Arabidopsis thaliana: one gene and its partner. The protein of the gene in region 1 purifies or fractionates together with the protein of each later gene. This does not show direct contact. Each region holds a gene or a part of one and is shown in the gene's direction. Other genes may lie near its edges. The genes, in order: BOU and psbE.

What was found.
Region 2: the proteins of BOU (region 1) and psbE fractionate together in Arabidopsis thaliana (co-fractionation; one large-scale study listed by BioGRID). This does not show direct contact.

The regions. Positions count from the first base shown.
Region 1 is NC_003076.8:18,988,017-18,992,898, reverse strand, and holds BOU (Mitochondrial substrate carrier family protein), read left to right. Parts: upstream 1-2,031; 5' UTR 2,032-2,404; exon of another isoform or gene 2,405-2,628; intron 2,629-3,086; 5' UTR 3,087-3,088; coding exon 3,089-3,480; intron 3,481-3,609; coding exon 3,610-4,120; 3' UTR 4,121-4,311; downstream 4,312-4,882. Other genes in the region: AT5G46810 (carboxyl-terminal proteinase-like protein, putative (DUF239)), read right to left, coding at 264-407, 500-553, 729-893, 990-1,196, 1,306-1,389, 1,724-1,735; MSP2 (microspore-specific promoter 2), read left to right, coding at 4,731-4,808. UniProt on the Arabidopsis thaliana protein: Involved in photorespiratory metabolism. Acts probably as a carrier for a glycine decarboxylase (GDC) cofactor or, alternatively, may act as a mitochondrial glycine shuttle. Involved in the transition from the embryonic stage to the juvenile autotrophic stage.
Region 2 is NC_000932.1:63,508-66,533, reverse strand, and holds psbE (photosystem II protein V), read left to right. Parts: upstream 1-2,211; coding exon 2,212-2,463; downstream 2,464-3,026. Other genes in the region: petG (cytochrome b6/f complex subunit V), read right to left, coding at 423-536; petL (cytochrome b6/f complex subunit VI), read right to left, coding at 727-822; psbF (photosystem II protein VI), read left to right, coding at 2,473-2,592; psbL (photosystem II protein L), read left to right, coding at 2,614-2,730; psbJ (photosystem II protein J), read left to right, coding at 2,874-2,996. UniProt on the Arabidopsis thaliana protein: This b-type cytochrome is tightly associated with the reaction center of photosystem II (PSII).

The DNA.
Region 1 (4,882 bases):
CCCATAAAAAAAGAAGTGTAAGGTTATATTTGTTTTTGGTAAATTATACTAAAGTTTGTGAAGAAATTCACTAGTTTTATCTAGTGAAAATTTTCTTCGAGTTTATCGGTTAAAGAATATTACTAACCAATTGAAACTAAAGAACTGTTTTAATAATATTTGAGAAATTTTATTTTTATTCAAATTTTTGTTTTGAATAAATCAATATCAAACCAAGAATTTAGTTTAACTCAAAAACGTAGTTGTTATATATACTTATATACCTGATTGATTGCAAAAAAAGCTTTAAAATTTTGGCCTCCCACCACAGAGGTGTTCGCAAAACCGGCTCCAAGAAAGAGTCTCCTATCAATTTGAACGAAACCCTTACATTTTATATTGTAACATCCGCTTTCGAATGTATCTTGCTGCAAAAAACGATTTGGGGTTAAAGAAGAGAAAAAAAAAATCTACTTTCTTGTGATAGGGACAGACGATAATTGGTGACATTGTTACTCACACTCCAGTATGCAGTAAGTCGTGTACGGCTATCGCCATATAGTGCAGGAATCACCTTAATATATTTCATACGTAGTAAAAAAAAAAAGTTATCAGTAAAACTTTTAACCATGATATTTATTCAAATGAACTAATTATACATATGCTAAATGATGGTTGCATTAAGTGGGTTTAATTTTGATCTAGTATATCACGATTTAAAAAAACAAAACAAAAAATTAAATTCTTACAGCCCAACCAAAGTGGGCACTGGTGCGTTCGCCTTCATACTCAGTATTGAGCCAAATGAAAGCCATGCTGAATTGCTCTTTATTTGTCAATTTAGGTTGGTAAATACTTATCCATGCTGATGCTCCACGCCACGGGGTGGCATCGATTTTCTTCATTACCGCAGCCTGTATATATATACACATCAGTTTTTTCAAAAAAAAAATACACATCAAATGGTTTGGATCATATATAGTAAAGGTATAAAATTTTAGTCACTTCACATGTTGACCAACAGTTCCAAATCCATTAATAGGCTGAAAATGTTTCTCGGTGTGGTTGAAATTATTTCTTGGTTTATGGATTGGTACTTGTCCTTGAGGACATCCTTCTTCTGGTATATCAAACTCAGCAACCATTTCATCGTTTGATAAGTTTTCTGATGATGTATCTCCTGAGAGCATGGCTAAGGCTTCATCGCTCGGTCTCATCTATGTGATGCATCAAAAAATATATCAATCAAATAGGGATAAGTATATGATCATGATAAACATTAGGTGCAGGAAATCGACAAACAAATGTAAATATATAGAAATATACTTGGATTCGGTGATTTTGGAGTTTAGGGTGTTGTAGCGAAGGTTGTTTGTAGATATCAACGCATTCGTATTCAGGTTCTTGAGGCTACAAGATATGAGAATTTTTTTTAACTTTATTTGTATTATATATTTAAGTTTATATCAAAGTGCTTACAAAATGGTGACAGACCTTAGTATTTTGAGACCTTCCATGGAAGCAAAGTAATGAAAGAGAGAATATGATGATCAACAACCAAGGAGAAGCCATTTGCTTAGTTTGCATATTTTCTATGTTCAGCCGTTGAGGCGGAGCCAATGTATATATAGGGAAGGTGGTCATCTGAAAATTCTTAATTATAAGGTAATTTACTTAATAATATTAATTCTTAAATGTTTTTGTATAAAAATTTTCATGTTGATGCCATATGATCATTTCCTACCTTTGACCCCATTCATAATATTCTTTTGAGAAAAGAACTTATTGACCCAATATATTAAATTAGTAATATTTTTAATTAGTAAACTAATTCATAAAATATAAAGTTAATTGAGTTATTTTCATACCTAAAATACCTTATATTGTTTTGTTAGGCTTATAACAGCTTCAACAATTCCGGATGAGCTTGGGCTGAACAAGAACTCCACGGCCCATCTTCAAACATAGAAACCCAATCAGCTCCAAACCAGCTCAATCCTTAAACCAAATTGGAATCCTGAACCACACATACGTTATACGTTAACCGACCGATTAAGCTGATCGAACGTCTGACCAGCCAAACTGATCTTCATTTTTCACCAACCACACTTAAAACAAAAACGTTTTCTCTTAAAGAAAATTTAAAGAGACAAAACAAACAAACAAAACTTCAGTCTCTGCAAAGCTCCATCCTTTGTGGTTGTGTCGTAGATAGCCATTCGAGTGGTTAAAAGTTAAAAACTTTTATGTCCACTTGAATCCTTTTTTGTTTCTTTTTGGATTTTATCTGATCACTCGTTTTGTGTCTCTGAATCTCTATCCCGTGGATTCGCATCTGGATTTGTTTTTTTTTCATTTTTATTCGAGCGGCTAACCTTTCTCGGATCCATCTGATATCGATTGGATTCTCTCTAATCAATCGTTGGTAAGCTAATATTTAATCACTTTTGATTGAATTTTCCTTCTGGGTTTTTGATCTGATTTCACCTCATTGTCTTATGAATCCACCATTTGAGTTCTAGGGATTAAAAGATTCAAACTTTCTCAGAGACAACTGAGGAAAAATGACATGTTTTTAGAGTTTGAGTTTGGTTACATTTTCAGGTTTTGTTAAGATTTCTCTCATTGTCTTCTGAATCCTTTGATTTGGTAATGATTGGAAATGATCATAAGATTCCTACTTTCTTGGAAGCAAAATAAAAATATCCACTTTTTATGAGAAAAACTCTTTGAAACGTCTTTGTTATATTCAAACTTGGTTTGTTTATACGTTTTGATTGGCTAAGTGGTTCAGGTCACAAGTGACAAAAGTACTGATTTTGGATGATGATATAGTTGGTTTAAGTGGTTAGGTTATAAGTTAATCTTGACTCTTGAAGGATTATTCATTAACAAAAAGTAGTGAGTTTGGTTGGTTTATGAAACATTTGGTTAGTTAAAGTGGTTTAGGTCACAAGTTAAATGACAAGTATTCATTAACAAAGGTTTTGATTTTGGTTTGTTCTGAGAAAATTGTTTCAAGTGGTGTAAAACTTATTCTTAATTAACAAAAACTTTTGATTTTTTTGGTTGATTCTGAGAAATTTGATTGATTTATTGTTTCTTAGAAATGGCGGATGCGTGGAAGGATTTAGCTTCAGGGACTGTTGGAGGAGCTGCTCAACTAGTTGTTGGTCATCCATTTGACACTATCAAGGTCAAACTTCAGAGCCAACCGACTCCAGCACCAGGCCAACTTCCAAGGTACACCGGTGCAATCGATGCGGTTAAACAGACCGTTGCTTCTGAAGGAACCAAAGGTTTGTATAAAGGTATGGGAGCTCCACTTGCAACCGTTGCTGCCTTCAATGCGGTTTTGTTCACTGTGAGAGGTCAAATGGAAGGGCTGCTTAGGTCTGAAGCTGGAGTTCCTTTGACCATTAGTCAACAGTTTGTGGCCGGTGCAGGCGCTGGTTTCGCTGTTTCGTTCCTTGCTTGTCCTACCGAGTTGATCAAGTGCAGGTTAGGTTCTTTTTACATGTATTACCAATCAGAGCCTATATATACATGTGCTTTTAACTCAAGCTCTAGACTGAAACAGAACTAAAACATGTCTCTTTGTGTGTGTGTTTAATCTTGTTTCTCCATCAGGTTGCAAGCACAAGGTGCATTAGCTGGTGCCTCTACTACAAGCTCAGTGGTTGCAGCCGTGAAATACGGTGGACCAATGGATGTAGCCCGTCATGTCCTACGATCAGAAGGAGGAGCACGAGGTCTATTCAAAGGTTTATTCCCTACATTCGCCCGTGAAGTCCCGGGAAATGCAACAATGTTTGCAGCCTACGAAGCTTTCAAGCGGTTTTTAGCCGGTGGTTCAGACACTTCAAGCTTAGGACAAGGGTCATTGATCATGGCGGGTGGAGTCGCTGGTGCTTCTTTTTGGGGAATAGTATATCCGACAGATGTTGTGAAGAGTGTTCTTCAAGTCGACGATTACAAAAACCCGAGATACACGGGGTCGATGGATGCTTTTCGGAAGATTCTGAAATCTGAAGGAGTTAAAGGTTTGTATAAAGGATTTGGTCCAGCTATGGCTAGGAGTGTTCCTGCTAATGCTGCTTGCTTCTTGGCTTATGAGATGACAAGGTCAAGCTTGGGATAAACCGGTTCGGTTTGGGTTTAACTGTTGGTTCGATTTCTGAATGTTCCATTGCGATTAACCTCTCTGTTTTTAGATTTGATTCTTAAAAAATTTCTGCAAAATTTATGTACCATTTACACAGTTTATTTCAGTATTTCTTACACAGAAGAACTAGTGGTTGACATTAACATTTTAACCGAATTGAACCGAACAAAAACAGAATCGGATGGTAACTAAATCAAACTAAACCGAACTTAGTGATTTAAGAGTTCGCTAAGGGGTTTGTTTAAGGGTTTAATCTATAAAAATTAGGTTTATATTGTGGGGTTACGAATTTAAAGTTTTTAGCCTTTTAGGTGTTTATAATATAGGGGTTTAATTTTTCTATTTTTGGTTTATAAATTGGAGTTAATATTTATATTTAGACTATTTTGTTAATTTAAATTAAATAACAGATTAGCGTATGACTCTGTACAAGTAGAGAGTGTCAACAGGAAAAAAAGGAGGGAACTCAACTGCTTTTTCCTTTATCGTCTTACATTTTTTTACTTATCTATATAACTTTTTCCACTATATAAACCAAAAAAATAATATCACATGTTAGAGAAATCCCAAAAAAATAACAAGTCTTATGGAGACGATTGAGCAACAAAAACATTCACTCTCTTCTTTGCCTATGCTCTCTAGGCTTGAACACTTGGATTTCGTTGTAAATTGTTTTTTTTGTCTTTGGTTCCTAAGTTAAGAAAACATACATTAGTACTTTTATGAATTTATTCGAGT
Region 2 (3,026 bases), on another chromosome or scaffold:
GTTTTGGGTACAAAATGTCACGGGTTCAAATCCTGTCATCCCTACCTATTACTGCTCAGAAGAGCAGTAACGAGGTATCTATTTTGATCAATTTTTTTTATCGGACATACATTTAATTCTGAAATTTATGATATACTATGTATGATATAGTATATACGTACAAAATCGAGTCGGGTTAAAGAATGCCCTCTTTCTAGCCTTTTCGTTTTTTAGAAAAAAAAAAAAAGAAAAACGCTCTTAGTTCAGTTCGGTAGAACGTGGGTCTCCAAAACCCAATGTCGTAGGTTCAAATCCTACAGAGCGTGATTTCATAGATTGTATCAAAATTCCACTGTTCACAAATTACTGAGCAGCAGTCTGAATTAGACCTCCCGCATAGGAAAGCAAGAAGGAGGTTAGTAAAAAAACGAGATGTTAATTAATTAAAAGTCCAACTGATCACCACGTCTGTATTGTAAATAAGCAGTTACGAATAATCCAGCCAAAGTAATAGGAATTAGACCTAAGACGATTCCAAATAAAAAAACTTCAATCATTTGAATTTTCTTTTGTTTTCATTTTTGAAAGGGAGAAAAGAGAGGTACTATCTATTCCTAGCTCTTAATCTGTATTGCCAATGAATCTCAATGACCAAAATTTGGTAATTAACACGGTAAGGAACTATCGAACATATTAATAAATACCAACGAAATCCTTTTTTATAAAAAAATCTGCATTCAATTAATTTCAAATAAGTCGTATTTTGCTTAGACCAATAAACAGAACTGAGGTTATAGTTAAAGCTGCTAGTAGAAAACCGAAATAACTAGTTATAGTAGGCATGAAGGGACTCAATAAAATATGTTTTTTTATACATATGTTTCTTAAAGTACTTCCCTAAGTTTCAATTGAAATTTTTTTTAAGAAATAGAGAAAGATAACTAGTTCCAAGAATTAAAAAAATTCAATTGAAAATTTGTGAATTATCAATCATTATAGGTGGTATGAAAAAAAATAGAGAAAGATAAAAAGAACTCAATTCATCGTCTTTGGCATCTGCACTATCTCAGGAGTCAGAATTAACGTAACTTATTAATTGAAAAACTCTTTAAGAAATTAATCATAAAAAAAAATAATACATAAAAAAAATAACTCTATTATCTAACTTCAGTCAAAACATATAACTTTTTTTGAATGAATATGTAAAAATTTGAAAATAAGTTGTTTGATTCTTTTTTTTTATTGACCTTAGAACCTAGAATACGCCTCTTTCTACTTTATTAAAATTGAATTTACTAAAATTTAAACTCATTAGATTAAATTAAATAGTAGAGCAGTTTTCTTCATTTAATCTATCGAATGAGACTAAAAAGAAAAGAGGTATCCTACACGGAGAACGAGATTAGTAAAAAAAAAGATTTATTTATTTTAACTAGATTTTAAACGATAACTAGATTTTTAAAACTTGTAATTAGCAATTTCTATTATCGTTTCCTTTCGAGGTTTTAGGTTTTTTTCTTTCGAGATTATATAGAAAATAGAGTGAAAAACCCATCACCCTTGTAGTTAGTTAAAGAAAGAAAAAAACCTTTGAATTGTGAATTGAATACAACAAAACAATGCACGCATTACAAATATTTAGTCTTTTTTTATTATTTTTATTTGTTGTTCTTTTTAATTGATCCAATCCAATCCAAAACTATTGTTCTTTTTCTTGTTTCTGCAAATTAATTCCTTAAAATGAAACAAAAAGTAAAAGGGGGGATCACATTATCATAAAAAAATCTATTCTACAATTATGCATATGCAATGAAAATGAAATTTATAAATTTTTCATTCAATTAACTTGGGACCATATGAAAATTTGCTTCATGAATTATTAGAATTAGAAACCAACTTCTTGGATTTTCATTTTATCTAATCTTTAGTTTATTTTCTAGTCCAAAACGAATAAAGGATCAAAGCCCCTATAGATTACAGTAATTTGAAAAAGTGGGACACGGTTATACATCGACAAGCAAGAAAAAAAGAAATTATGTAACACCCCATTTCTATACTAATTCAAATTGCGTTGCTGTGTCAGAAGAAGGATAGCTATACTGATTCGGTAGACTCTAAAAATACCCTTGGTACTTTATTGACGATCTCACAAAGATGCAATCTCAGTGAATTTTAATTTACTTATTCATCTTTTACAGAATCGATTCCCTACGAGAATATCTGGAGTTCAGTATGTCTGGAAGCACAGGAGAACGTTCTTTTGCTGATATTATTACCAGTATTCGATACTGGGTCATTCATAGCATTACTATACCTTCCCTATTCATTGCGGGCTGGTTATTCGTCAGCACCGGTTTAGCTTACGATGTGTTCGGGAGCCCTCGTCCAAACGAGTATTTTACAGAGAGCCGACAAGGCATTCCATTAATAACAGGCCGTTTTGATCCTTTGGAACAACTCGATGAATTTAGTAGATCTTTTTAGGAGGACCCAATGACTATAGATAGGACCTATCCAATTTTTACAGTGCGCTGGTTGGCTGTTCATGGACTAGCTGTACCTACCGTTTCTTTTTTGGGGTCAATATCAGCAATGCAGTTCATCCAACGATAAACCTAATTCAATTATAGAGCTATGACACAATCAAATCCGAACGAACAAAGTGTTGAATTAAATCGTACCAGTCTCTATTGGGGGTTATTACTCATTTTTGTACTTGCTGTTTTATTTTCGAATTATTTCTTCAATTAAGAAAAGAGCGTAGAATAATAAAATAAAAAATAAAGAGTAGTAATTTTATTATCCCATTCGGATGGATTATATATAATAATTATCTCTGACTGTTTATGTTTCTAGCATGACCACTCGATTAAATGTGGAGGGAAGCGGGATAAATGGCTGATACTACTGGAAGGATTCCTCTTTGGGTAATAGGTACTGTAGCTGGTATTCTTGTGATCGGTTTAATAGGTATTTTCTTTTATGGTTCATATTCAGGATTAGGTTCATCCCTGTAGAAATTGGATGAGCTGAGTTATAGACGTGAA